Arabidopsis thaliana: one gene and its partners. The protein of the gene in region 2 interacts with the protein of the main gene of each other region in a pairwise test. Each region holds a gene or a part of one and is shown on either strand. Other genes may lie near its edges.

Region 1 (7,236 bases), on a different chromosome or scaffold from region 2:
TGTGCGAATCTTATCTTTCTTATTAGTAAAATATTAGGATACACGTCGAATCTTGCGGTGTGGCAACGTGGTACGTATCTCCAAAGTTGTTCGTTCGGTTATCTAAATAATGTTGAATCAAATAAACATTGCATGTAATGACAAGAAGATTCCTGTTCGGTTGGTTCAAAGTTTGTAAAACGCCAAGTTCTGCTGCAACTTTCCAGCATTGAAAATTCCAATAATATATGACAACACAGAATTATTTCTATAAATCATTATAAAATTTTCGTGAAGACATGTTAGGGAAATACGGAGAAAGAGGGGGTGGTTGAGGCTCACACATGAACCAAGCCGTTGTCATCTCGATTATTTTCTTCCGAGTAGATAATGATTATCAATTTAGATTAAATTTTTTTAAGAAATGAAAAGTGAGCATTTTAAATTTTTTTATCTTTGATTTGTTAATGATGATGAATTGTAAAATTTAAGAATAATTACTATTGCTTTAGGGTAAAAAATTGTTAATCACAAAAAGTGATGCATTTATAATCAGATTTTTGTAATTTTGTTTTATTATGTGAAAACTGAAAAGTTTAATACGATTAGACTAATTACAAACAGATATATTACTTTCTTTTTTTAGTTTGACAAGTTTTTAGTTTGTTGTTGTATAAGTAATATGGTCACACTAGCTAATTTTTTTTTTTCGTCGATCACACATTCACACTAGCTAATTAAACAGTTACATGACTCACCTATAGCAAAGTACATGTAGCCTGTTAAATGATTAGTATAAGTTAAGTTTATAAAACAAGTGACTCGCCTGTCGCCAAAAGTTCAAAAACATATTTAACCCAAACGTGTAATGATAATCATAACCTAGTAATACTAAAGAAAATGTTACAATTAGAAAAAATATTAAAATGGTCAAGACTATTTAATTATTTAACGTTCAAATGTTTGGAATTATTTATTAATTATTTCATCTGTTGAGTATATTCATTGAGAATAGAAGCAACAAATATTAAATTCTAAAAAATAATAAAGTAAGATACACAGAATAAAATTTAGGAAAGCAATAAATAACCGAGTAGAAATCATAAAGCAATTGAAACTGCAAAATCAAAACAGTCAAATATATTCTTCAAAATGTTGAAATGTGTGTACCTAATTATGTAAAATTTCCATGCAATTTGTTTCCGAGTACCGGAGCCATCTGGTCAACTTTTTCATTTAGTGTGTATCTATCAAATCAAAGTGCTGGCCATTAAGTTCCTTAAAACTTGTAAAAGAGATTGAAAAAAAAAAAAAAATACAAATAAATATACTAATTGATTGGCTTCTTCACCTTTTGATATTTAAAAATGCCAATTTTTTAATTTGGAGGTAAAGACAAAATATCTTCTTTCCAACTTGTAGGAGCTGCCTCATCACTCATGTCATGCTTCCATCTTTTTGAAAAGCACCCAAATACCCTGACTTTTTTTACATATGTACGAAGTTGCCATTTAGTGGTATCGACAACATTATCACGAGTTCCAACTTTCAAGTAATTCGCGATCTACTTTGTGAATCCATTTGTTAATATAATAACTGTGATACTCCGAATCTTTAGTTGCGGCAACAAGGTACGTACGAATCTCCAAAATCGTTGAGTTTAAATAACACTAATATAATAAACACATTATTTCATGTGGTGGACAAATGAAATTAGAGATTCGTGAATAGGTTGGTTGAAAGTTTGTAAAAACACACTTTTTCAAAATAAAATAAAACAGAGTTTGTAAAAACACACTTTATCAAATTAAAACAAAAAAGAGTTTGTAAAAGCACCTACTTCTGCTGAAACTTCAAACTTGCAAGCATCTAAAAGTCTAATTAGTGATGTAAGACATAGAAATTATTTCCATAAATTATTATTTATTTGCATCAGACATGAAAGATTGTCATTTCTGATTATTATGCTTGAGTAAATGGTTCAACTTCGTTTTACCAAATTGTTAATGCTTCTAGAAAGCAATACTTCGAGTTATTTATATCTATTGCGTCAATGCAAGGTTTGTTTTAGACTTTTTAGCTATTTAAAGCAATAAGTATGAACTAATATCAAAAAAGTATGAGCTATATCAAAAGTCCAAACTTAAAAACGGTCAGGCTTTTACTTAGTCCATGCTTCACATTCCTAATTGCTTATCTAGAATGCAGCAAATAATGATCATAAAATTTGAAAAAAGCGTTATAGAAAAAACTCCAAAGAGAACACAAATGACCACATAGATATTATCATCACAACCCCATGAAACTGTACATCTAAAACATTACTGAAATGCAAAAAAATATCCAAAACAATATTTAAGTATCACAAAACATCATTTAAAATAATACTCTAGAAAATAGAGAATAAAAGTAAAAATCCAAATCAAACCGGAGTAGGTGTAGTATTAGCACCAGAAGGAGAAGGAGATCGTGGCTCAACTCTCCTAAGCTGAATGGCTTTGTGAGACTCATCATCATCAAAGTACATATAAGCAAAACCACCGTGCCTGGTCATATCCATACCGGCCATCTCATCCTCGGACGATATCCGCAACAATTTCATTTTCTTGAGGATGAAGAAAAGTGTCCCCATGGTCGCACTTACCCAACCCGTGATCACAATGATCTGAATCAGCTGAGCTCCAAGTAGTTTTCCTCCACCGCCCATAAACAAACCGTGTGGCCTTCCGGGTTTGTTGCCGTAAATCTGGTTCAAGTACTTTTCTTGAGCGAAGAGAGCCGTGAATATTAGTCCCCACGCACCGCAACCACCGTGTAGTTGTGCTGCCTCAAGAGGGTCGTCGTATTTGAGCTTCTCAGCGAGCTTGTTGCATCCGAGGAGGACTAGGGCCGCCACGAACCCGCAGATGATCGCAGCCCATGGCTCAACGACAGAGCAGCCACCAGTTATGGCTGCAAACCCTCCGAGGAGGCCGTTGCATACATCAGTGACGTTCCAATGTCCCGAGAGTAGACGTTTCCCAAATAGGGTTGTCAGCGCCGCGGTGCAGCCAGCTAACGTTGTTGTGACAGCTGTCCGTCCGACCGCGCTCCACTGGCCGTTGTATGTGCCTGTCTCGTACGTGACTAGGATCTTGTTGAAGGAACCGGGGTTAAATCCGTACCATCCAAACCAGAGGAGGAATGTTCCAAGGACAACAAGTGACGCCGAGTGGCCACGAAGAGCGATGGCACGGCCTCCGTTATCGAACCGGCCAAGTCGTGGACCTTCGATGAGCGCACCCCAGAGTCCAGCGATACCTCCGACCATATGAACAACACCGGACCCAGCGAAATCTATCGCTCCGGTGCTGAAAAGCAAATCTCCATCGGTACGGAACGGGCTGGCCCATCCATCAACTGACCAGAACCAGTGAGAGACGACCGGGTAAACAAACCCGGTTAAGAAAGAGGAATAGATTAGGTAAGCCACGAACTGTGTCCGTTCAGCGATCGAGCCACTTGTGATTCCAGCCGCAGCGATTGCAAAGGCCCATTGGTAGAGAAAGTTGGAGTAGTCAGCAGAGGCCGTGGGGATGTCTTTGAGACCAAAGTAGTGTTTACCGATGAAACCATTGGACGGAGATCCAAAGGCAAAGGCGTAGCCAAACAGATAATAGAAGAGACCACCGGCTGCAGCGTCAAGGACGTTGGTAAGCATGATGTTCATAGTATTCTTGGCTCTCACGGAACCGGCACAGAGCATAGCGAAGCCAAGCTGCATAGAGAAGACAAGGTAGGCGGAGAAGAGAAGGTAAGTGTTGTCTATAGCGAAAGCGGTGTCGATAAATTTGTTGTTGACGTCGCCTAACTGGCCACAGATGTAGTTGGCCGCCGCCGTGGCATTAGGACCCAACAGGACAGCGAGATCGGTGGCCGAGCAAGACATGTTGAGAGTTTAGAGAAGAAGATGAAACAGAGAGGCTGAGAAAGAAAGTGTTTTGTTTCTCTGTTTATATAAAAGAAGGAAGCTAAAGGCCTAGGGTTGACTTTTCAATCCTGACGAAAAATATTCGTAACGCATAATACAAAGTCTTTAAGTTTTGTTTATTAGTACATACATGTGAATAAAAAATAAATAAGGAATGTAAATGTATCAGGCTTCAGCTAATATATCGGTGAAGATAAGATCTGTGTGTTCAGAAAAAAATATTCTATCACATCCAAATGTATAAGTGAATAACAGAAAAATAAAATGTAAAAATATTCTATCACATCCATATAGTTGTTGGAAATGGCAGCGAAATTTCGAATTTCTTCTTCTTCGTTTAGCCACAGGGCTAGTGATTCCTCAACTTCATCATCTTCTTCATATTCATCATTGCTTGCTTTACCTCAATTCTTTTGTCCACCATCACCATTAGGATTCCCAGAATTCAAGCTTCATGCCAAATTAGGTACTCTTATATCTTTTATTTGTTTGTAGATGTAAATTTTGTTAATCTTTGGTTATTGCATAAGGTGGAGGAGATGGAGAAGTGAAGCCTAAAGATAAGAAAAAGTTTATAACCAAAGAGGAAGAACCTGAACAGTAAGTTAATCTTAATTCTCAATTTTCATCATGAGATTGTAGAAAATAACAGAAACTCATAGAATGGTAATGTAATTTTGCAAAATCACAGAAAAACAAACCTAGGAAATTGATGAAAACATGGAAAATTACAAAACGATATGTAGGTTACCAATTTAATACAAAAATTTTAGTCTCCATTGCAGAATTTAAGTAGTTTTTTTTTTTGTATGTGTCAATGACATGTAGACTGGTGGTTTGTGACATTGTGTTAGTATTGTATCAATATCCAGACTCAAATCCGTGTTAGCAAAAGAATAAAAATATTTGGGTTGTAGTTTAGTCAAAAGAACTAAACTCTTTTAAAATAGAAAAAGAACTTAAATTCTTGCATGTTCATTTTTCATAAACATGCAATTGTGATTGAAGAAATGGTTATGGATGAGGATTGCATTGGAATTTTGTAGGTATTGGCAAAGCGTTGGAGAAAGAGAAGGAGAGAATCCGATGAAGACGCCTCTTCCTTACATTATCATATTCGGTATGTCAACTCCATTCGTCATCTTAGCCATTGCTTTTGCCAATGGTTGGATCAAAGTTCCCATTCGTTGAGCCTTTCTTTTTGTTTTTTCTTCACTTGTTTAAGGCTGAATCTTAAACATGTTTCTTATACTCTTCTTCTTCGGCTGTAAAAAAGAACAAATTAATAGAATGCTATCACTATATTATATGGTGCTTTGCTATACTACATGTCTTCATTACAAGCAAATGTATAAACAAATATTAGTCATCTCTTCATCATTAGTGATATGTTTGGTCTTGTCAAGAAGAATGAGAATTAGAGACAACACAAAGTAGTGACATAGAGCCTAGTTGGCACATTAAGCAGAGACTTGAAATCATCTAGAAGACTTTTCAAATTACAGCCTGACGAAAAATATTCGTAACGCAAATTGCAAAGTCTTTAAGTTTTTGTTTGTAAGTACATGTGAATAGAAAATAAATAAGAATAATAATAATAAAAAGGAATGTAAAAAATGTATCAGCTAATATATCGGTGAAGATAAGATATGTGTGTTCTTAAAAAAGTATTCTATCACATCCAAATATATAAGTGAATAACAGAAAAATATATATAGTATTGAGACTGAAATTCCTTGTTTTTATTGTTTTCTTGGTTAGGCGAAATTTCTTACTATCTCTTTTGAACATTAAAAAGTGTCAATTTGACAAGATATTCTTTTGTTTTCAAAAGTAAGTCTTAGATTTGAGTATTAATATATTATAAATTACGTACTTACAAAACTATGTTTGCATTTAGCATATTTCGAATTCATTTATAAGATATTAATTGATAATTTCTGTGATATCTCAACCAGGTTGTTGTTGGTATATCTTAATTGACTAATTGAGAGTGAGCATAATATCCACATACCACATGCTATAAAGTTAATGTTTCTTTTCCGTTAAATTATCTTTTCTATTTATATAATATAAAATTTTCACAAAGTAGTTTTCCTAAAACATGTTTGGAAATTCATCAAGTTAAAAAGTAACTATATGATAGAACCAAGCATAAAAAATTGATCAAGAGATATTTAGATTCCAAGATTGGGGAATAGAGGCAACAATGTACAGTTTACTTTTGGTCTTGATGAAGGCGTCAACGAGCATATAGTACTCTTGATTTCCAAGCTAGATGCAGTTGATCTACCGCGATTTGTGATGGGGCTTGAATTACAAATTTATTCACCCTTATAGCAGATCTTTCATCGAGTAAATATCAAAATATTTGCGGACAACTGAATCCGATAAAGGCTTATGTGAATATTGCAAGTGAACATGACAATGTTCTTGTTCAATCCGATCAAAGTGTAGACATCAATTTTATTGAGTTTAATTTATAAATGACGAGGGTCATAAGACATCTTAACTCAAAGGATTTGGAGACTAAGCTCAAGTTTCGGGATTGAAGAACTTATTTGATGAGAGGCTTCTCTTTTGGTGAATTCAATACCAATGGCATGAGCATATTGAAGGGATGCTCTTTCACGACTCTTTAAAATATCTTAAAAAGTAGATATGAAAAAGAAGAAATTGAGAGAAAAGTCATATAGAGAGAAGAAAATTAGAAGTATATACAAAAAAAATCGATAAAAACTGTAAAGAAATCGAAGAGGATATAAAATTTCTCGACGTCGACGAACTAAAACTCTATCGATACCGAAAATTAGTCTTTGAAGTGGTATTTCAATAATATTGCATGAAAGTGTTTTACCAGTATCATCACTAAAAACAATAAGTGTATGTTTTTAAAAATATATACTATACCTTTTTTTTTCTTTATATCATCGATGTCGAGATATATCTCGATTCTTAGGTTGTTAACTCTACAAAACAAATATTCGTAATTAAATTCTAGCGAAAAAAAATCCACAAAAAATGGAACTTTAATCGCTTGACCAAAAATATTTCTCCATACAAACTAAATAATTCGTACACATGTTTTACTATATTTAATCAGACATCTAGTTAATGATACTGCAGAATTTTTTTTACAAATTCATGAAACTGATTACTTTAAAATTTAGAAGAAGCTGATTTAAACATGTTATTTTCTGTATATAAATATTGGGTATTAATATTCTCTATATATATACTATTAGAAAGTTACTTTAATTTGCCCCAAAAAAAAGTTGCTTTAACTA
Region 2 (8,884 bases):
ATCACCTAGTAATATAATACGTAAAAGAAATAAATCCATCAAGGGTCAATGATCAAGATGCGGAGACGAGGATACGAATCATAATATGCATAAACTCGAAACATGATGCCCAAAAAGAACACAAGCAGGTGATCAATAAACCCTAAATCAAGTACAGAGCAATCTCGAAGAAATTAAACGAAGCTCTTCACTTTACCAAATCATAAATCACAAAATTTCATCGGAGTATAAAACAAAATCAAAGCTTGCAAAAAGACACAGATCAATCGAGGAAACATAATCCAAAACACAGAACACAAATCACTAACAAACAGCAACCCAAAAAGGCGAGAATAAAGGAAAAATTAAGAAAAAAACGGACCTTGGGGTTGATGGTGTCAAGAGTAACGGGAAGAGAGGAAGAGGAATCAGAAGCAGACATATCGGAAGAAGAAGAAGAAGACAAGTGGCGCGATGAAGAATCGGAAGGAGCAGAAAAAGGAGGAATAAGAGAGACAAAGCTGAGATTTTTGTGATGATGAAGTTGACGACGACGACTCTGATCTATGAGATTTTTAGCTTGGCCAATCACGAATCTCCGCATTTGTGATTGTGTGGTATGGGATTTATACTAAAAAGCTTGTTGGCTTGTTTCTCAATCTAAATTTAGATTTCGATAGTTTTGCTCGAAAGACGAAACTTCCCAATTCCTGTCTTCTCTCTCTCTCCAATTCACACTGATTTTGACATTTTTTTGTCCGTCCACGGATTTAGAATTTATCTTGTTTTCCTTTATTTTCAACGGATTTCTTTAAACCCTTTTCAACGAATATTGAATGTCTTTCTTTTTTTCTTTCTTACCAAATACTCTGTCAAAAGCCATCTATATATTTATCTTTTCAACGAAAAATCAATCTAAAAAAAGAATGTAATAAACGTAAATGAGATTTTTTTTTAATTTCAAACAAAGGAATGAGATTATTATTATTGTTTTGTTTTGTTTTGTGTGTTTTCAATCCATAATCCGTAATCTCGAGTCTTTTAGCCGTTTATGATATTTTCTTAGTCAAAAAATTTGTCTAAAGAGAGGTCGTAATAAATGAAGGTGGTTTTTTCTTCTTCTTTTTAATTTAGTTTGGTACTAATAATAATAATGAACAATTAATTGGAGATAAAGAACTTCTGGATCGTGGATTATTCAGACAAAACCATGTGTTTTATTGGTCGGAGTCGGCGCGTAAAACGCTGTTAGAAATTGGACAAAATTTGGCCATTATGGGCCGAGTTACGGTTTAGAGACTCTCTTCCGGCCCAACCGGTTCGTGGGAAAAATTCATCATATTATACATGGGATCAGCAAAACGACGTCATTTTGGCGGCGGTTTTCTCAGCGTTTCCTAATAACAGTAATATTATTATACATGGGATCAGCAAAACGACGTCATTTTTGAGTAATGTGTTGGATGCCACTTTGTTTCTTCTTGGTCCAAAAGTTTGTAAACAATCTCAACAATCTGTATCGGTGTTTTAGAGAAGTACAAACTTACATGTCAAAAGGAATCTAGTGCTCACAGCTGTGATTACTTCTTTCATTGTTGCTGTTTTGCAGTGAGGAGTAATCACTGGATATCGAGATAGGCAGCTAAATAGTCAGGATATTGTGAGGTTTCCTGCAGAACAACTTTCAATTTTTTACGGATCTGAGGATGCATTTTTGAAGCATATAGAACCGAGAACATAGATAAAGAGGTTGATCATTTTATATTTAAGGTTTTAAGCACCACTGAGAACAACATGCTATGGCTGAGGATAAGTCTGCTGAAGTCAAATAAAAGAAACCACAAAGCAGAGAAAAGAAGAAGAACTCAAAAGATTAAAGAGGTTGAGAATAGTTTTGGAAAGTTAGACTACTCGAGCTAGGAGGCGTTTTAAATTTTCATCCTATCTTGATCGATCAATAAGATTAAAAGATGAGTTCATATATTTCAAGTAGATTACAGCATTAAAAGCACACATGTCTAGGTACCTATTCTACAAAAAAAACGAAAGTAGAGGATCTAAATAAGGACAAAAAAAGAACTGGAATTTTAAGGTTTTCTTGATGTTGTGATCTGCTGTTGTTTCCTACTTGCTTTAACATCTACCGGTGGATTACACCTGATACAAAAAGAAACACTTTTTGATGTCAATTACACCTAAAACTCATCTTTGGGGATACATAAAAAAAAAGAAAAACTAGATTGTGTCTCGTATCTTCTTTACTTGTTCTGTATAGGGTTTGAGCCACTCCTTGGGATTCTTCTGAAGCTATCATTTTCTCCCTTAAGTGGCTCTTTCTTCATCTCCTTGCTTACAGGCAAATCTCTCACAGCTTGACTCGAATGTGTCATCGTTAACAGAGAACGTCCTTCTACACTATACTTGCTGCTAAAGAAAGCTACAAGTAACAGAACCAGAGCCACTGAACAGCATCTCTTCATTCTGAGTTCTCTTCTTGAAATTTCCTTTAGGACTCTTGAAACCTCTTGACTTTTTCTTGTTCTGTTTTTCTGTGAACTGAGAAAATCTTGGATGGAGATGTGTGTTAGAGAAAAGAGAGACGAGAGACTTCTAAAGCTTGTTGGTTTTATAGAATAAGATTTATGTGTGTTTGAACACATAGTTATTGGGATCTGATCACGTGATCTTACTTTGACTAATGCTATTTAATCAGATGGTGAGATACTTATCTTATTCTTAATCATTTACTTACGATGATGATGATATTCCTCAAGCATCTACATTGAAACAATGATACAATATCATATGTAGAGACAAAGATCCACATATTCACATTACCTAACTCATGTAACTGCTTTGAAACTAAGAGATGGTGGTCATGTGATTAGAGCACGTGATTTCTGCCTACTGTTATCGGGGAACTCAAAAGAGGCTGAAACTTAACTTTATTGAAATTATTTTTTAAGCATAACTTTGGAATTTGGAGGTATTAGTGTAAGTCCAATTTCAGAAAAGAAAAAATTGCAGGTAACAGCTGTTTTGTCTCACTACTAATCACTAGTTTTTTTTCTTCTTCTGCAGCTATTTTTTTTATATTTCATGAAGAGAAGGAAAAATTGATTCCAAGAACCGGCACAGATTCTTTGATGAGTGGTGGAGAATAAAGAAATAGGGAAAAGTGCATTACGCAAAATAATTATTAAATCATTGATCCTCTAATAACGAACCGGAATGGATTATACAATACCGGTCTAACTTGTGTTGAATTTTGTTCGGTTTAGATAAACCAAGCGCGAGTTAGGCTAATTCTTTCTCTCTCTACCCGCGGAGAAGGAGAAAGTGAGATTAACGAGAAACCCCAAGAGAGAAAATCTTCATCGACAAAATTCGATTCAGGTGATCAATTTCTTTCATATTTTCGCAATTATTTCTTGGATCTGATGTTATCTACTTTGGAATTTCTTCGCTGCATTATCTTTTGATTTGTTGTTCTTGTTCCTTTGCGTTTCTGGGTAAGAGCGAAGCTTGAAATTGCAATTGGAATCTCTAACAAGTTTAAGACTTTGCTTTGATACGGTTTATGTGGAAGTATCTGTGATTTTCTTATATATTTATGGAAGATATTGCAGCTGATTCGAGTTTGGTTTGCCTATCATTGTTGCAATTTTCTCGGTTCAATCAAAGGATTTTCTAGGTTGATATATAATTCCAGGGATTTCCAGATAATTTCCTTTAATTTGGTTGGAATTCGATTGAATTTTCGTTGCTTTCAATTGGTTTGCAGTGATTTGGGTGAAAAGATTTTTCCAAGCTCATGGAAATTGGGGATTTTTATTCAAAGGGTGTTTCTGGTGATCATAGAGTTGTTTGACTCAAGTTTCATTTGATCTTGTGTGTATTTGGTTGGTTTTTCTTTTCAATCAGGTCATGAAAGTATTGCATAATAGCTAGAAGTATTGTTATCTCTGTATATGTGTTGTGAGATAGTACAATTGGTAAAGTTTCCATATCAATGGCACGAAAATCAACTGCAATTTACTCGTTTCGATATATGTTTTTATGTAGTTCATATATGTAATTCAGACATAAGGGTTTTATGTAGTCCATCTCATCAGTAGGTGGACTTTCACTCATATTTGTATTTCGTTTTGTTGATAATGTTAAATGGGTGTAACAGCTGCTGCAGCTATTCACTTCGTCCATAGCACGTAGATGGCAGAAAAGGCCTGTATAAAACGTCTTCAAAAGGAATATAGAGCACTTTGCAAGGTACACTCTCTTTACTTGTTTTTCTACCTCTCTCGAGCTGGAACCAGGATTCCATATTTTTATTGCTCAACCAGTTTTCTCTGTACTTTCAAATGATGCTGTATCTATATGTGAATGTTTTCTTGGTTTTGGTTTAGAGTAAGTTTCATATTTTCTTTTGTTTCTTTGGGGGTTATTTAATATGTTCTGTTTTTGGCCTTTAGGAACCAGTCTCCCATGTTGTTGCTCGTCCTTCCCCAAATGACATTCTCGAGTGGCGTAAGCCTTCCCTATCTTTTTTTCTTAATCTTTATTCCTGCTGGCTTCCTGTAATCCTGTTGCAAGCGTTTCTATAAAGATGTTATGATAAGTATATATGATGGACATATTTGCTACACTTGTGAGTATACGTTAAACTAAGAAAAAATGGGATACTACGATCTAAGTAGACAGAAGAGGTCTCACATTACTTTGATGGAATAGTGAAGACTTATTTATCAAAGGTTTATATGTACTTACAATGCATAGATTTGATAGTTTTCTTCTCAATTGTGAAAGGCTGTCAGTGTTACTGTTAGCCTGATAGCGGTTAGGGAGTTTCAGTCTTTCTATTATTACTGCATTTAGTATGTTAAAAAGGGTAGCTTGATCTCTTACTAAAATAGAGTTAAACTATTGGATTAATCTTACAGATTATGTGCTGGAAGGCAGTGAGGGAACACCTTTTGCAGGTGAAAATCTTCTTTTGAAAGTTTCTTGTTAGTGTTGTCTTACGCAGTATCTTATTTTTGATACTAAAATTCTCTTTACCAGGTGGATTTTACTATGGAAAGATCAAGTTTCCTCCCGAGTATCCTTACAAGCCACCAGGGATTACGTATGTTCCAATGGTTCCTCCAAATTCAGTCTCAACATTACTCTTACCTCATTTTTTGTCCAGTTTTTTAATGAACCAAATCTTTTTCTGTTTGCCTCAGAATGACTACACCAAATGGTCGATTCATGACACAGAAGAAAATTTGTTTATCTATGAGTGATTGTAAGGACAATCTGCACTTTCTGTTCATTATTTCGTATCAATTAACTTGTCTAATATCGAAATAAGTTGACATGGCATTTACAGTTCATCCAGAAAGCTGGAATCCGATGTGGTCTGTATCAAGGTATAGATTCTTTCTTTACTTTTGGAAGATGACAATCGATATACCCGTTGATAACCAACTTTTTTTCATGAATGCAGCATACTTACAGGACTTCTCTCATTTATGGTAAGCTCACTGTAGGTTCTACATATTTATGGACATCTTGTTTGAAAATTCTCATATTCTTATATTGTAATGGTTTATTAGCTTAGATATGAATATTCAAAAAGGAAGTCTATTTTTTCTTTTCTGTTCTCAAGCTTTCTCTAAACGTTTTCCTTGCGGCGCAGATGGATACCAGTCCGACAACTGGAAGTGTTAACACTACTGTAATTGAGAAACAACGGTTGGCTAAGTCATCTCTCGCTTTCAATTGTAAAACGTAAGATTTTCCCATCATCAAAAAATTTCAAATTCTGGATTCATATAGAAGCTAAGTTTAGTTATCTGTGGTTAGGATAGTCATAAAAGCTGGTTAGATAACGAATATAGGAATGAATGCAGTCCTGAGATTACATGTTTTCGGTATTTCACCTGAATCCAATGTTCTTACTTGTGACAGCCCAGCATTTCGAAAGCTATTTCCAGAGTATGTAGAGAAGTACAACCAGCAGCAACTAGCTGAGCAAGCTACCACACAACTGACAACACCAGAGTCTCCTCAAAAGAGCGATACCAAAGTCGAGTCAGAGAAAACCATCGATCCAACAAAGGGAGATTCAGAAGGTGGCTTGAAGGAGAGGAAAAAGAACAATAAACAGGGATTGCCAGCGTGGATAATACTGTTGCTAGTGTCGGTTTTCGGTGTGGTAATGGCGTTGCCTCTGCTTCAACTGTGATTTCTATGCAACAAACCTCGACCTGGTTTTCGTATAATCTCTCCTTGTGTCTCTCTCTCTTCAGCATCAAGAGTAGTCTCCTTTTGTCTAGTGCTCTTCGTCTGAATTTACTCATTTAGCACCTCATGGTTTGTGCTTGTAAAAGCAGATAACATAAGTTTGGTTTCACAATTACATACATATTGTAGCTTCGTTGGAACTACTTTGTATAGTATATATGAATTGAGGATAATGGTTTGGATTTGAAAAATAGAACCGTATGGTTTTCAAATTGTACTTCTCCTAGAGCTCACAGGTTAATTTGTCAATTTATGTAAATACTCTGGTGTAGTAACTTGATGAAAACAGAAGTGACAGAGAGAATACACAGACAATAGTGAATAGAATTGTTAGGTATATTGGGCCAATTAAGCAATTGTCCCTTTAGGCCCATTGGTAAGAAAAGGAAAAAACCATACTTAATGATAAATTAAAACCGGTATGGCTGTACCGGTTCAATCTGTCTTCAACCACCGACGTTGACTTGTTACCAATCTTCTTCTTCTGCTCGAGTCCAGTCCAGTGAAAGTGATTATGTTTATGGTTAATAATGTTAACTCTATAATTTAGTGGGAAAAATGTTATTTAATACCTCAACTTACAAAAAATGGTCAAATTAACCGTGAACTCGTGAAATGGCCGTTTTAACTTTCAACAAAAAGTTGACTTCTGTTTTAACATTCAAGTTTGCGTTGACTCGGCCTAATTAACCACCGTTAAAATTCCTTCTAACAGCGTAATTGACAGACGTTACAGAACATCCGTTAAGGTGATACGACGACGTTTTGTGCTATCAACAGACTTCAAAGTCGACGAAACCTCTGAAAAATCCCCAAATCAAAACCCAAACCCTAAAAATCATTTTCTCTCAAATTTTTCGATCAAATCTGCATTATGAGCTGCAACTCAAGGAATTCGAGTGGTGAAAGTGGAGGCTGCAATTCAGGAATGATTTCGAATGCTGAAGCTGGAGGTTTCAAGAGCCGTGGGTTTCCTGTTAAGTGTAAATGTGGGCTCGACGTCGTCATGTTTACATCGAGCACGGCTAAGAACCCTGGAAGGCCTTTCTTTCGGTGCAAAAGCTGTGAAGATGTAAGTAGATTTGATATGAGAATGTGATGTTTTTTGTGTTTGGTCGATAAAAGCTTGAGATGGAATTGCAGGATCATTTGTTCAAATGGGTGGAGGATTGTATGTATGAAGAGGTTATAGATGCTCTACCCAAAATCTCCAGCATTGATAACGAGATAATCAATGCAAAAGCTGAGGTTGCTGTTGAAATTGCAAACTTAAAGGAGCTAATGATAGAGTTGAAAGAAGATGGAATGTGGAGCAAAAGAGAAATTCAGAGATGGAAAAAGATGACGAAAGTGTGCTTGGTGTGCCTTTGTTTTAGTGTGATTGCAATTGTAATATCAATGTTCTATAAGAAAAAAACCCAGAAATTTGTTCTTGGTTATTAGTGTGTAATCGAATGGGAGCTTAGTTTGAATGTGATGTCTTTGTTGTTTCTCTTGTTGTTGGTCTTTGTTGTTTAGTTTGTGTTTGGTTATGCTTTTACTATGTAATGACATGTAGCTTTGGTAATGGTAATGAATTTCATTTGAAAGAAAAGGTCAACTTCTTAAAACTGAGACTAAGCTAATCATATAGAGAGACAAGTGCAAACAACAATAAGTAAAAAGACTTAGATTATGTCATAAAGACAAGTTCAAACAACAAAAACAAACCGAGACTAAACATATGTCATAAAGACAAGTTCAAACAACAAAAACAAACATGAGACTAGCTTATCATGTTCCACGAGAACATTCAAACCATGGTGCAAGTCCAGCAAGTCCTTGCGATTGTGCTTCTCCTTGTGGTTGTTCAGACACTTGTGATGTTCCACGACCTCTTCCCCTCTGTCTTTGTGCTCCACGAGTTGTTCCCCTTTGTCTTTGTGTTCCACGACCTCTTCCTCTTTGGCTTTGTGTTTGTGACCCATTGTTCTGCCCTAGTGAGCCATTGTTCTGCCCTTGTGACACATTTTCCTGCCCTTGTAACACATTACCCTGCCCTTGTGAGCCATTATCATGTCCATGTGATCCTTCTACATACCCTTGTGGTTCCTAATACAAACATTACAATCAGTTTTTGAAACAGAATTTTTGAAAATAGAAATGAAAGATATACAAACCTCATTTATCCTTGGTCGACCTCTTGGTCTCTTTGGTGGACTTAAAACAGTAGCATTTTTGCATGATTTCTTGTTGTGCCCTTCTTGCAAGCAGTTAGAGCATGTCATGATCCTCTTTTCCCTTGACATTTTGTTCGGATTTGAGGAAGAGGCAACTTCATTTCTTCCTTTCCTTCTTGCATAATTGCTTGGCCTTCCGGCATTGCCTCTTCTCCATGGTGGTGGCAAGACAGGCAGCCTATTCAATCGACCCCACAAAGGCATCCCTTGGACTGGCCTAATACCACGGAAATATGTTTCTCGCCACCTATTTCTTGTGTAGTAGTCGTTCACATAGCTCTCAACCTTCTCTTTTTTCCCTATTATCACACATGTTGCATGAACACATGGGATCCCAACCATTTGCCATTTCCTGCAGCCGCATGTCTTTAAGTCCATATCAACAAAGTAGCCAACTC
Region 3 (7,294 bases), 2.0 Mb from region 2:
CCGCCGCAGACGGAAGCGGAAGAAGAAGAACAAAGCATCTCAGGCCGATGTAGATGCAATGGACGTGTCAAAATCTCTGTCAAGCACTCCTACTGGTATTGAGACACCGGATGCAATTGAACTTCGTAAGGAACAGAGAAAGGAACCTGATAGGGCTCTATACCAGGTACTTGAAGAAAAGGGAGAGAGTGTTGTTGCTCCTGGAACATTGCTGAGAACTACACACACATACGTTATTAAGACTGGTACTCAGGACAAGACGGGAACCAAAAGGGTTGATTTGCTGAGAGGGCAAAAGACAGATAGAGTGGATTTCAGTTTACAGCCAGAAGAGCTGGATGCTATGGGAAATGTTTTACAGTATGAGGAGGCAAGAGAAGAGGAGAAATAGCGCAATAAGCCAGTGGACTTGAGTGACATGGTCGTCGAGCATGTGTAGCAGAATAGTAGGAAGAGGAAAATGCATGGCAAGGAAGAGAAGAAAAAGAAAGATTTCAACTTCTGAGGTGCGTTATGGAAGAGACAAAAAAAAAAAGATTTTAGATTCTGGACATGAGACATAGAAAGAGATTCATGTTCCAGAATTATTAGTCTTGAGTAAGAGATCTTGAGTTTTTAGTCTTAATGCTTATTAAAAAAAAAAAAAAATGTTAGACCACCAATGATGTAAATTTTTAAATAGGTGATTGCATCATTGTGTAAACCTAATATTTACATTTTGAAGGATTTGGTCTTTCTGCAGTATGTAAGTTAATTCAATCCCCTTATTATTCTGACTTGTAAGGGGATTCAAACCCCATCAATGGTTTCTAAACTTAAGTTTCTTATTTTAGAGAGATAAGTTTTATTATAAAAAAATGTGTGGGTTTTTTGATTAATGAAGAAACCATCTCCAAAATACTTTATATAAGAAATTTTGGAGAGAATTTCTAAATATTTAAGAAACCCACATAATTAAATAATATTATTTTTGTTGTTTTAATGTTAAGAAACTTATATTTAGAAACCACCAATGAAATTCCTCTAAACATTAACATTGCATATAGTCATAAAAAAAATATCTATTTTCTTTTTGGTTCTCTTTTTAATATAGCTTTCTTGGTCAACACTTATTCTTAAATATCTTAGAAATTAATAAATTATTTCGTAACTCGTTGAAAGATAACTGGCCACACTTTTTGTGTATGACTCAGACATAGTTTTTGTCCACTCGGTCCCATCATGCAAGTAGATAAACACTGAATCACCAAATCTTGTTTGAGATTTAGAAAAAAAGGAAGCTCCAAGAGATGGCAAGAGTTGTTAAAATCGATTCTGCAGAGTCATGGAATTTCTATGTGAGTCAAGCCAAGAATCAGAATTGTCCCGTAAGTCTCTCTTCCTCTTATCACTTTCGTTTTCTAGTAGCCAAAATGAAATCTGATTTAGATCCAAGACCTATGAAAGAATCAAGATCTTAGGATTAGAGTTTTATGGAGAATTTGATTTACAATTGGTTAAATCCAAATTGTGTTACTCTTTAAGATATGAAGTTAGTGAGAATGAACCATGAATATTAATGTTCAGGATTGTGAATGAATGGCTCTGTCTTGTTTGTTTATATGAATTACCAAGAACGGTTGTTCCTTTATGGTTTTTTGCAGATTGTGGCTCATTTCACTGCATTATGGTGTATTCCTTCTGTGTTTATGAACTCCTTCTTCGAAGAGCTTGCGTTTAACTATAAGGATGCTCTGTTTCTAATAGTTGATGTTGATGAAGTTAAGGTAAAACTACTTATGTGTCTCTCTACTTGATATGTCTTTCTACTTTGGCTTCTTTGTTGAAGAGAAGTGTTTAACCATCAAGAGTAAAAGATTTAAACAGTTGCTAAATTGGTAGATGATTAATGGTTTTTCTTTGTTTTTTACTATGTTGGATTGGTCAGGAAGTGGCAAGTCAACTAGAGGTAAAGGCGATGCCAACTTTCTTGTTCTTGAAGGATGGTAATGCGATGGACAAACTCGTGGGCGCAAACCCTGATGAGATTAAGAAACGGGTCGATGGTTTCGTTCAGTCCTCACGTGTTGTTCATATTGCTTAAGAGAGATTTATAGATACGAGCAGAATACTAAATAAAGTTTGTGTGAAGTGTAATTAGTTTGTAACTTTGGTATTTGGTTTGTGTGAAATATCAAGTGTAAGTGTAAATTTTTATAAAAGCAAGTTCTGTTATAAACAAGAACTGGATTTATTTAATTTTGGTTCTTAACAGGGTAATTTGAAACCCATGTAGCGACCAGAGACAAAATCATTCCAAACATTAAAAGCTCCATGGGTTGTCATCAGTACAGTGCTAAGTGCCATGACGATACCAACTGCAAACACAATGATCGAAGCCCTCCCATACTTGGCTATAACCTTCTTAACCACCATTAGTCCAACCAGTGATGCCACGAAACAGACCAGAGCAAATATCGCAGCGGTTCCAGCATGTTCCATGCCTAGTAGTAGGTACTGGATTGCAGACATTGATGAAGAAAACAAAACCATGAACGAACATGTAGCTGCAGTTACCTGTAGAGAGAGCACGATTAACTTAAGAATCCAATTGCTTGTTTTGGTAAAACTTTGGTTCTGATGCTGCTAGAGAACAAGACTCAAGAACGTACCTCTGGAGCAATACCGATTTGGAGAAGAAGAGGACTAATGAGCATTCCACCACCAATACCAAAGAGGCCACCCAAAACTCCAGCCAAGAGAGCCATTACAGGGAGCATCAACTTGTTTTGTCTTCCTCCAACTCCAGTCTCCTGTGGAGTAATTTCAGTTTCATATTCATCAAACCTGTTGACTTTTGACCAACAGAAAAGCTAATTTAATCAACAGCAAGTAGTATGTATTGGACCTGTTCAGAGTTTTGGTTACTATGCGATGTGTGGTTGCTTTGAACATTGTCACTGAAGTAAATGCAGAGAGTAAAGAAGATAGTGAGAGGTATTTGAAGCGAGGAGAGGAACCAGTAGAGAGCTCCACATGGCTTGATCGATATGATTCCCTGTGCAAATCCAAAGTATATCAACTTCTTACTTCTACATGCCATTAAGATTTCAATAATTTGGAAAGAATTATAACACTTCAAGGAACGTTCAAATAAGTGGAGGGAATGTGGAAACAGAGCAATGAGAGCATTGAGATAGAAAAATATTCAAATCAATCGACCAAAAATCATAAATACGCGTTTAGATACTTAAATTCATACCTGACCGTATTTGTTTCCGCGGAAAAGATTAATAGAGAAGAACAATAACCAAATGATCACTAAAACTCCAAGCTTCATCCATGGAAACCTAATCATCCCTCTCTGTCTCACATCTTCTCTTTCTTCACTCAGAAGCGGCGATCTCGCTACCTCGATGCCATCAACGTCTCTTGGACTCTTAATCTTCGCTCTTTCCGACTCCAAATTCCAGTAAGAAACTCCCTTTTTACAAGTCTTCATCGTTGACCAGGCGAGGAACACAGCGAAGAGAAACAACACAAGCCAATTTGGGAACATACGGTTACAGATCACACCAATACTTACTCCGAGAAGTAGACATGGCTGAATAGTAAGAGCTAAATCGAAGTCGATTAGGGTTTTGTCTCTTGATTTAGGGTTTCTCAGGAAAAGATTGCATCCCACGTTAGCGAAAGAGACGCCGGTTACCATGAACGCTGAGAAGCTTGAAGCTGTTTTCATTTCGAGACCGGCGATGATTGTCATTATCGAGAGGAAGAGTCCACCGCCGCCGATTCCTCCGGCGCTGGAGATAGAGGCGGCGAAGAACGAGAGAACGGCGGCGATTATGGTGGGGATGGAGACTTCAATAGTTGATTGGCTGAGGTCCTCCGAGAAATGGAGCCATTGGCTTGTTGTGCTGCGGATTTGACTCTGGTCTGCAAGGGCGGATGGATTGAAGATGGTGAAGATGGTGATTAGGGAGAGGAGAAGAGGGACTAAATTGATCGTCATTTTCTTTACTTAGGGGGTTGTTTGTAACCTTTTGAAAGTTTTGGGGTTTATTTTTGTTTGGAACGTTAGAAATTTTATGCTCATTTATTGTTTGGTTTATACTTATATATGAATCAATAAAGGGTTTAGTCAACTGCAATTCTAATACAAGGTATTTATTACGGAATTAATTAATTTAAGACAATTTGGTGAAATAAAAAACTAAAGATGACAAATGCAATTATTTTTCCTATGTTTTTGTAGATCTAGTAGTATTATTTTTATTGAAATATTTATTCAAAGGAGCTTCTTTCCCATATCCTCTAGATTTGTTTTTGTTTTAGGTACTTGTAAAAAGTGGTAATAGCATTATGTATTTATTAGCTGAAAAAATAAAGACTATGGCACCAAGTTATATTTGTCTTTCTTTTACATATCAATTTTTGGAAATTAATTAAGAGAAAGGGAGAAAAGTTTGAATATTTGCATACAAGTTTGGAAAGAAATACTTGTGCTATGTGTAAATGTCCTTTGACTATCAAGACGAGAAATGGGCTAGAAACATATATGGGAGACAAGTTCTAGAGGAAAAATGATGTTAGCAAGCTTAGTTGACATTGTGGTTCAAAGTAAGTTTACGAACATATTTAATTTATAGTGTGTAAGAAAACGTACTATTTATTTTATCCCACCAGTATGTCATATTATTATTTTTATACCCAAAAGTGAGGCAATCGTAATAAAATGCAAGAAATTCAAAATTGTCAATCAAAAATGAATTGTTTTTCAAATTAAAAATGCGATAAATAGTGTTCATCACTTGGCACGTAAAAGGTTGACTTTTAATATCGGAATGAATCCGGACATAACACATGTCCAACTTGGCATATTTAGCAAACTTGGACTATTTATTAGAAGATAGTGTTTATAGAAGAAATGTACATTAAAAAACGGTAAATCGCTAATCCTAGGCCTATCCTCACGATTGTGATGTAATGTAACCCACTTCCGTTGATTTCTTCAAAGAAATCAAAAGTTGTGGGTTCTTCTAGAGATGCTACTACTACAACGATCGATGGACGATTGTCATTGATGTTATCGAATGGTAAATCGGACAAAAGTTTCTGGATATGCTCTCTTATAATATCACAATCACAAATGCTATTTCTTTTCAATAAGGTATTTGGGCTTCATTAGTAGCTGTAGCTGAACCTTTTGTTTGTCACATGTCTTTACTCTTATGCTCATCCATGTTCGTTTATATTTTTGACCCACTGTTCTGTTCTGAGACCTTAAGTGTAAGAAGAATTCTCAAGTTAATATACATCTTAAAAAGCAGTTATGAAATATAGCCGACTAAATAAATAATTAATTAAATAAATAAACAGAGGATATAGTCCATAACAAAATAAGAAATGCCAAAAAAAAGAGAGTAAAATTATTACATAAACCATTTCCACTTTAATACACTCAAAACAAAATTGATTTTAAGCCCAAGGGCTAATGGAACACTCCCAAGGAAGAGTAGGGAACCTCTCACTGTCTTTGCAATAATCGTATACGACGAGATTACGCTGCACCCACGCATAATCCATCTTCTGTGTCTTGGACAAATGCCACGCGTCGTACTGATCCCACCAATTCTCTGTTGTGGTAGAGACGCATGCAGGGAATGGATCCTTCCAACGGCAGCCTTCGACGGCGAAGTCCTTGTAAGAAGAGACGAATGGAGCTTTTTTCCAGTCAGTCTTCTCCAGACCACCACGTGTAGCCCAATCGTCAGCGTTCCAAATGCTGGAGAACAAGTACATCGGCTTCTGGTTCGGGAAGAAGTCGTTGTTTGGTACCTTATCACTGTTCTTGTATACTCGAATTGGTACCCTATCCACGAAGAACCTGGTTTGGATTGGATTAAACCGGGTTATGCATTGTACCAATCGATAAAATTAGCTTTGATTGACCAATTCGGTTCGAGTTGGTCTAGTTTGAGTTCTTTAAAGTTTGGTTAAGATAGGCTTGCTTTGGTCGGTTTGAACTTTAAACCAGATTGGAATTTTTGTGTCGGTCGAAATTTGAATCTGCACCATTTAAGTTTTCTCAAAGCTAAACGTAAGAAAACAGGATTGAACCTATTGTGAAATTAATCTGTAAACTGAATTATGTTATTGTGAGTGGAATGTTGGTTCTAACTTCGAACCGATCATAAACCTAAGGTTCCGGTTTCTACCCAAAATTCCCGGTACAGTTCGTGGTATCTCTATATATGTAGCCAACTAACCATTAGCCAAGATCAAGAGAGGACTTACACAAGCTGGTGGTTATTCCAAAGAATTGAGTAGGTGTGATAATCCTTGGTCGGGTCGAACCAGAGGGAATGTCGCATCTCCCGATTCCCGGTTCCGTTCTTATACACATTGGTCTGAATAATGTAAGGCTGTCCGGTTCGGTTCCCTAGAAATTCGAAATCTATCTCGTCTCTCTCCGGTCCTGCCCCATTCTCCGAACACATCTGCTCAACCAAATTTAATCTAAAATAATTAATACAAAACAAAATCATTGGTTATCTTCTTTACAAAATTGAAACATTAAATAAGAACGACGGCTCACGTAGTAAGCGGTGACGACGCCGGCGGAGTCGCCTCCGACGAGCTTTAGCTTCATACTAAACCATCCGAATCTATACATGTGCTTTGTCTGAAATCCACATCCTGTTTTATTTTTTATCCAATCAGAATATTTAAACTTTCGATATAATAATCAAGAGACTAAGTTAAAAAATGTCATGTAGATTTAAGTAGGAACAGAGTAAGTATCAGTGTAATTTCGAAAGACTAGAACGGCATTGATCCTAAACCGGAAGCAAACTGGATTTGAACGTACCGGTGTCGTTATCTAAGGAAAGATTCCAGATCTCTCCATCATCGGAAGTCGTGAAGTGATTTTCAGACCACATAATGTTGAAATTATCTTCAAACGATTGTGTCGGTGTTGCTGCGATAGAGGACGACGCCATTAGAGCCGTCATGAACAAGAACAGAGCCGTCATGGCAGAACAGCTCGTTATGATCCTCCTTTCCGTCTCCATTGGTTGTCTCTACTTCGAATATTTCGAAGAGAGAGAGAGAGAGAGGTAATGCAATCTACACTTGTTCCGTGAGTGAGAAGAGTATAGAGCTTTCTTGCTTTTATTATAAAGACCGGGGAAATGACTGTTTTGACCATTAATAATTCTTTTAATATGCTATTGCGTTTAGACTTTTGATACGGTTTTTTTTCTAAGATTTTCATGTAATAATGATGTTTACGATAATTTGTAAAAGA
Region 4 (6,084 bases), on a different chromosome or scaffold from region 2:
TTGTTTCAAATCGGCGGATGAATCGGTGTTTCCGTTACAAATCGAATCCAGATCTGAGATTTTGAGATGGTTATCGTGAGATTCGAGAAGAAGAGGATGATCTTTCCCGAGAAGATCGTCGGGACCGAATCTGTGTGGCAAGAAGCTTCCGAGACGTAAGAATCCGTCTGAATCGGCGGCGGAATCGGAATCGGCGGAGTTGTTTGGATCGGTGATAAGGATTTTGATTTCAGGTGCGTCGCGAATTTCTTGGAGGAATTGACGGCAATGGCCACATGGTGCGGCGGAGACGGCGAAGAAATTGAGATGACGTTCACCGTTGAGTGTGAGATTGGTGACGAGGAACTGTTCGGCGTGGATTGAGTGGTGGAGAGGGAGATTTGGGAATTCGACATTGACGCCTAAGAAGATCCGACCTGATGATCCGAGTCCGACGACTGCGACGTTGAATTTCGAAATCGGAGTTCGAGCGTAGGATTGTGCTGGTTTGACTAGCGACGGGAGGAGCTGAATGACGGAAACGCCGAGTTGTTTCGCGGCGGATTCTGCTTCTTTGGATTGGATTACGAAGCTTGGCTTATCCATTGCGGGTTGATCCGGTTTGGGTCGCGTAAATGGGTCGGGTTATTTTTAGATGGGAGAGATCCGGGAAATGAGGAATTATGAAATGGATGCTGGACAAACAAACTATTTATAGATACAACAACGTAGGAAACTACATTACGCAAATGAAGTTTTGGTTCGGTTTCGGTTATGTTTCGGTTTACGTTTGGTACAAAATAGAAAAATTATATCAGAATTGAATTTACAAATAATATGATTTCGGTTTGACTAAGCCGCATGGAATCATTGTTATGAAAACTACCAAAAATGCAATAGAGTATTAGTGTAACGTAATGTTAAAATCGTGGTCTAATTAAGAAAACACCTAGTAGTTTCATCAACCACGTTACGAAACTACAATAATCTCCGGATAATATTATTTTAGAGGTCAGAAATGAATTAAACTATAGCTAAAAGACAGCTTAGTTTCATATAATTTTGATAGTATTAAACATTTTAATTCCGGTGTTGTCAATTTTAAGTTCCCAAAAAAATAGTTAAGAACAAAGGTGATAGTACTATTGTTGACAAAAGAAAACAAAGATTAGGTTTTGTTCTTATCGTTGGAATCAACGTCACAGACCAAAAGAGAAGTCTTTGTTGATAATTACGTTTTAACCAACGGTTAAGTTTTTCTTAATAGAAGAAACTGAGAAAACTCTATGACAACAATCAGTTTTCCAATTAGGGTCAGTTGTTTGTTTACATAGATAAGTGCCATTTTGTCGAACATAAACTGATAAACATAGAAACAAAATCCATAAAAAGAAAAAAACCTTTTCCACACACAAAGAAATCATAATATGACGAGCTATTTCCGAAAACTCCAATCTCAACAAACTACAAACAAATTTATAGACACAAACACATTTTAGACCCAACCTTGTTTGTATTTGCGGAAGAGATCCTCAGTCTGAGCATTCCTAAACGCGCTACAAGCAATAACATAAACCCATATGAGAACAACGACTGTGATGATAAGTATGAGATTTGCTTTACGCCATTCTTTTCTAAGGTTTCCCAATAAACCAGCTTTGCATGAGTTGCAATTGTAACAAAGCTGGCTTTGGTCATTGCTCCATAAGTAACAGTCTGCGTCTGCAGCCATATTGGTTGGATTTAGCCACAGTGTTGGGTTCACAAAGTTGTAGCCACATGCGGTTGGTGGTTTGCAGCAGCCGGACTGTAAAACAACAAATGTTCAAGAAATTGTCATAATTAGATTTGACCAAATATATGCTTAACCATGTTTTCAAATATGATAATCATAGTCTTAAAGATATTTACACTTTTTTTTTATTGGTAAAAAATATTTACACATTGTAAACACAAACGCTACCATTTGCGTCTGCCCTTTGTGTTTACAACAAAAATTTCATTTTGCTTAACATGGTTAATATTATGGGTTCATGTGGAGAAAAAAAAAGTATATACTAAAGGCAAACACAAACAATCAAGAGTTCAAGAGTCAAGACCTAAAACAATGAAACACTAGTTTTAGTCTGAAAGCTATAAAAATAAAACGACTACAAGAAACCTAAAAAATTGCTTGCTTGGTATGAAAGTACATAAAAAAAATGAAAAAACATGTTGAATCTTATCACAGAATAATCTTCTTTTACTTATGAGTAAATTTTGGTTCTGTCTCGAGGACGAGAAATTGTATAACTCTTTCTTAGAAATAAACTTATTTTTTCTTGAGTCCTAATTTATCCAATAAGAAAAATTATAATGTGAGTGGGGCAACATGGGAGGGATATAATTATCTATTATGTTTCATGATGGAGACAAAGACTTGTGATCGTAATTATTGAATCAAATCATTGGTCCAATATTTAATAATGTCTAATGACTAAAAGATTTAAAATTCAGTCGAGACCTCAGCATCTAGGCTTATTTAATTATTAGTGGTTCCAATCTTGTTACAGTGACAATGGACTAGGATGACAACTTGCTATAGAAGTTTTAGGAATAAAATTATTTAAATCACCCTTAATCTCTCCATGTTTAAAGCTTAAAAGACATAAAAGACATGACAATGAATTTTAAGAGTGATTTTAATTAATAAAATTAAATAGAAAAAGTAGGAAATTTTGTCAAGTTTGAGTTGTGATCACGAAAAACACTATCTAAAGTGAATGGGATCATTGAATTTTATGAGTGAGATAGTGACAAAGGAAAAATATAATTAATACACAGATAAAACATAGTTTATCATGTACCATATTGTGGGTGCATGGGTGGGTCCTTATGATAGTGTATAATTTTGAAATCTGACTATCTTACTATATAATCTTGTGGACTTGGTCTCCAGCAACTTCTACACCAGTCTACTAGGAATAAATATGTGTTCAATAATGGTGATTACATATGCCTAATCTATGAGTTTTACCACAAAATGGCACTAACTGCGAAACGTTAAGAAAGCTAATGTAGGTTTCTCTCCAACACTAGAAAACATAAGATTAATTAAGTCAGAAAATATTTTTTTAGTTTTTTCAAAGATGAGGAAATCCAAAACGAAATAACTTAAAGCTGCAAAACAAAAAAAAAGAATATAGAGAATAAGAACAATTCTCTTTTGGACATCTTCACAAAAGCTAAAGAGAAATTTTTTAACTTTTTGATTTAAAACCACATACTTTACTTTTTGAAAGAAAAAATAACCTATCTTTCTATGGCAAGAACAAACCGTAGGTCTCACATAATCTAGAGATTTTACAAAACATTCTCTTTACTTCGTATCTTATCTCCATTAATCATCTAATAATATCTAATTAAACCCACAATGATTCGTTGGCATAGTTGCATAACCGATATTTAGTCTAGATTTACCTCTAAACCAAACCTAAACCGGAAACTAGAAATTTCGGGGTTCTTTTTATAAAAGAGAATAAAAGAAGAAAGAACATGCCTGGAGAGGAGTGATCTTAGAGGAGGAGAAGAACTGATCGGCGGTGATGAATTCTTGGTTGAGTTTAGGACAAACATTAGTATCAGCCAAACAAGCCCTTAGCCTTCCCCAGTTCTTGGAATCCACAACGTTCTCCTTAAGCCAATTCGAGAACCCTTCAAGCCTATACTCTTTATAACCTCTACCCGGAACCCGATACGATCCATCGGGCCGGGTCACGACGAATGCAAATATAAGAACCACCAGCAAAAGTCCGATCAATATCGCCATACAGCACAAGTAAACCGCCAGTAGAGTTTCCTTGTACCTGAAATATGAGAGCTCAAAGTTTACATCTTTATGATTCAATTTGTGTCTATGTTTTCAAAGTCTTGAAGTTCTTTGATTCTTACTTGTAGGCGCCGATGAAGCCTGTGGCGGAGACGACGAGGATGAGAACGCCGAGGACGACAACGGGCCAACGGAGGAGATTGACACACTCGTTGTCTGGCTTTGAAGCTAGCCATATACCTGACGCCGTTATTGGTATGGAACAGAGTAACGCTAGTAAGTTGAGTATCGCCGTTAAGTTATTCGCTAACGCCATTAAATTTTCTCTCTCTCTCTCTCTTTGTTCTTGAAGATTCGTGCTTTTTATGGAAAGAAAATGAAATAATGAGAGTGAGAGGAGTGTCTCTGTTTTTGTCTTAATGACTTATGAGGTCGGTGGTTAGAGATGATGGGATGTGTGAAACCAGTTACTGCTATTTACAGAAAACGATGTTCGGTTTGGTCCGGTCCGGTTAATCACTGATTTTGCTGATTTGGATTTTTCGACAACGGTGGTTTTAAGAAAAAAGAATTAGATATTGGATTAAAGTTAACATGTGAATGTCAGAATAAAATATGTTTAGCAATGAAAAGTTAGGTTTTGAACAAGTTTTGGGTTGTGATGTAATAAAGAGAACTTGTTAATCTGGTCGGACCGGCTTTTGGTTTAGAATTTGGAATCTTGAACGGGACACGTGGATACGCGAGATGCCTTTTGTGTTAATATTCTTCCATTCTGCGAGTTACCGAATGCATCAACCAGTGAGAACTATCCACGTGGCACCGACGACTTTGGGTCATTTGCATTGAACGTATGTTACTTTCGACAGAGAATGCAAAATGGAGTAAGTTCCATTGTTCGGAAATCGGAATTTTCTTCTTTTCCAAGCATTAGAGGTTTCGGAGCAGGATTTGTCGTTGGCTGATGAGTGAAATGTCGGGTAATGGTCAAGAGATAAGCTTTTGTTTTGGTTCAGAGGATTGGGATTGCACACAAGCTGCTCGATAGAATGTGTGAACCAAAACATATGGATGAATTTTTCTCATCTCGATTTTATTGCGATTGGAGAAGAATTTTGAGTCAATACACACTTAGCTTTCAGTTTTAGATGCTGATATAGAAATGCTATTTGTTTGATTCTAGGAATTGGGAAGGAAATGAGTCAAATCAGAGAGAATATGGAAAGAGATGATGGCGGAGTTGTGGATTACGTTAAGAGTTGAATTACATCTTATAAATCATGAAATTGACTGTCAATCTTAGAGCTTAGATTACAAGCTCTTTGTCTAATCTCAAGTTCGACACAGAGCTTGATGAGACTGCTTCAGTTTGGCTTTGGAACTTTTCAAGTGGAAGTGAAGAAAGAAGAGTGAAGTAGTATAGCTGAATCAGCAAGATTCTGACATGGCTGGTTATTTAAATTATAAGGAAACACAAGAAGAAGACAAAGTTTTTATGATGTGAGTACAGAAGCGTCAAATTCCAGATGCATCCTAGGCTGAATCCGCATTTCCCATTTTCTTCATGGTCTCAAGTCTGGGGCCTTTGTCTCCAAACTTGGTAGTTGAATAAAGCTTTAGGTAGTCTTGAAAACGGTAGCCACTTGGATACAAGAGCTTTGGAGCTGGAGATATTATGGCATCACCAGCCGGATTGTAAAACGTAGCAATCGACAGTCTACTTCCATGCTTCACTGTCATTACACGGTGAACAACACTCTTGTACCTCCCATTACTCAGTATCTCTAGTTGATCACCGGTATTGACAAAAATGGTATTGTTCTTGGATGGCGGTATAGGAACCCACTTCCCATCTTTAAAGAACTCAAGACCAGGCACTTGATCATCCTGCAGGAGTAATATGATTCCCCCAGCATCCGTATGTTCTCTCAGCCCTCTCATAAGCTCAGGACGTGGGCATTCTGGGTATTTAGCCACTTTTGTTCCAAAAGCTGGACCTTTTGGACCAGAAAAGGCATTCATTATGTCTTCCTGATCAAGACCAAGATTCTCACACATGAGCTTGGAGAGTCTCTCTGCAAACTTGTGCAGTTGACAAACATATTCATCCATCGTCTTGCTGCAAATATCAATTTCACCCTCTCACATTGTTTAGTTAAATAAGCAAACAGGTAAAAATGGTAGAGCCTTTGGTACTATTCAATTCTTAATTACTTTACCTGAGTTCCTCTGAAATGTTTGGGATCTGACAGATATTTGAAGTTGGTTTATGTGAGATGAAGAAACTGCTTTCCCAA

Evidence for each region.
Region 1: the proteins of UBC34 (region 2) and AMT1;1 interact in a protein complementation assay, tested with the Arabidopsis thaliana proteins (one large-scale study listed by BioGRID).
Region 3: the proteins of UBC34 (region 2) and AT1G11540 interact in a protein complementation assay, tested with the Arabidopsis thaliana proteins (one large-scale study listed by BioGRID).
Region 4: the proteins of UBC34 (region 2) and TET2 interact in a protein complementation assay, tested with the Arabidopsis thaliana proteins (one large-scale study listed by BioGRID).

What each region holds. Positions count from the first base shown.
Region 1 is NC_003075.7:7,854,891-7,862,126, reverse strand, and holds AMT1;1 (ammonium transporter 1;1), read right to left. Parts: upstream 3,945-7,236; 5' UTR 3,908-3,944; coding exon 2,402-3,907; 3' UTR 2,209-2,401; downstream 1-2,208. Other genes in the region: AT4G13500 (uncharacterized protein), read left to right, coding at 4,253-4,415, 4,480-4,549, 4,996-5,140. UniProt on the Arabidopsis thaliana protein: High affinity ammonium transporter probably involved in ammonium uptake from the soil, long-distance transport to the shoots and re-uptake of apoplastic ammonium that derives from photorespiration in shoots.
Region 2 is NC_003070.9:5,914,470-5,923,353, reverse strand, and holds UBC34 (ubiquitin-conjugating enzyme 34), read left to right. Parts: upstream 1-3,011; 5' UTR 3,012-3,375; intron 3,376-3,377; exon of another isoform or gene 3,378-4,156; 5' UTR 4,157-4,191; coding exon 4,192-4,248; intron 4,249-4,451; coding exon 4,452-4,506; intron 4,507-4,919; coding exon 4,920-4,958; intron 4,959-5,040; coding exon 5,041-5,104; intron 5,105-5,204; coding exon 5,205-5,266; intron 5,267-5,332; coding exon 5,333-5,390; intron 5,391-5,467; coding exon 5,468-5,495; intron 5,496-5,659; coding exon 5,660-5,751; intron 5,752-5,931; coding exon 5,932-6,208; 3' UTR 6,209-6,522; downstream 6,523-8,884. Other genes in the region: AlaAT1 (alanine aminotransferas), read right to left, coding at 362-583; AT1G17285 (uncharacterized protein), read right to left, coding at 2,067-2,136, 2,242-2,639. UniProt on the Arabidopsis thaliana protein: Accepts the ubiquitin from the E1 complex and catalyzes its covalent attachment to other proteins.
Region 3 is NC_003070.9:3,873,229-3,880,522, forward strand, and holds AT1G11540 (Sulfite exporter TauE/SafE family protein), read right to left. Parts: upstream 4,096-7,294; 5' UTR 3,995-4,095; coding exon 3,242-3,994; intron 3,038-3,241; coding exon 2,888-3,037; intron 2,793-2,887; coding exon 2,652-2,792; intron 2,557-2,651; coding exon 2,248-2,556; downstream 1-2,247. Other genes in the region: AT1G11520 (pliceosome associated protein-like protein), read left to right, coding at 1-391; CXXS1 (C-terminal cysteine residue is changed to a serine 1), read left to right, coding at 1,290-1,367, 1,644-1,766, 1,928-2,083; XTH8 (xyloglucan endotransglucosylase/hydrolase 8), read right to left, coding at 5,461-5,869, 6,280-6,482, 6,581-6,681, 6,854-7,058.
Region 4 is NC_003071.7:8,470,919-8,477,002, forward strand, and holds TET2 (tetraspanin2), read right to left. Parts: upstream 4,236-6,084; 5' UTR 4,104-4,235; coding exon 3,910-4,103; intron 3,825-3,909; coding exon 3,518-3,824; exon of another isoform or gene 2,687-3,517; intron 1,787-2,686; coding exon 1,475-1,786; 3' UTR 1,216-1,474; downstream 1-1,215. Other genes in the region: CDA1 (cytidine deaminase 1), read right to left, coding at 1-585; ACO1 (ACC oxidase 1), read right to left, coding at 5,321-5,906, 6,007-6,084. UniProt on the Arabidopsis thaliana protein: May be involved in the regulation of cell differentiation.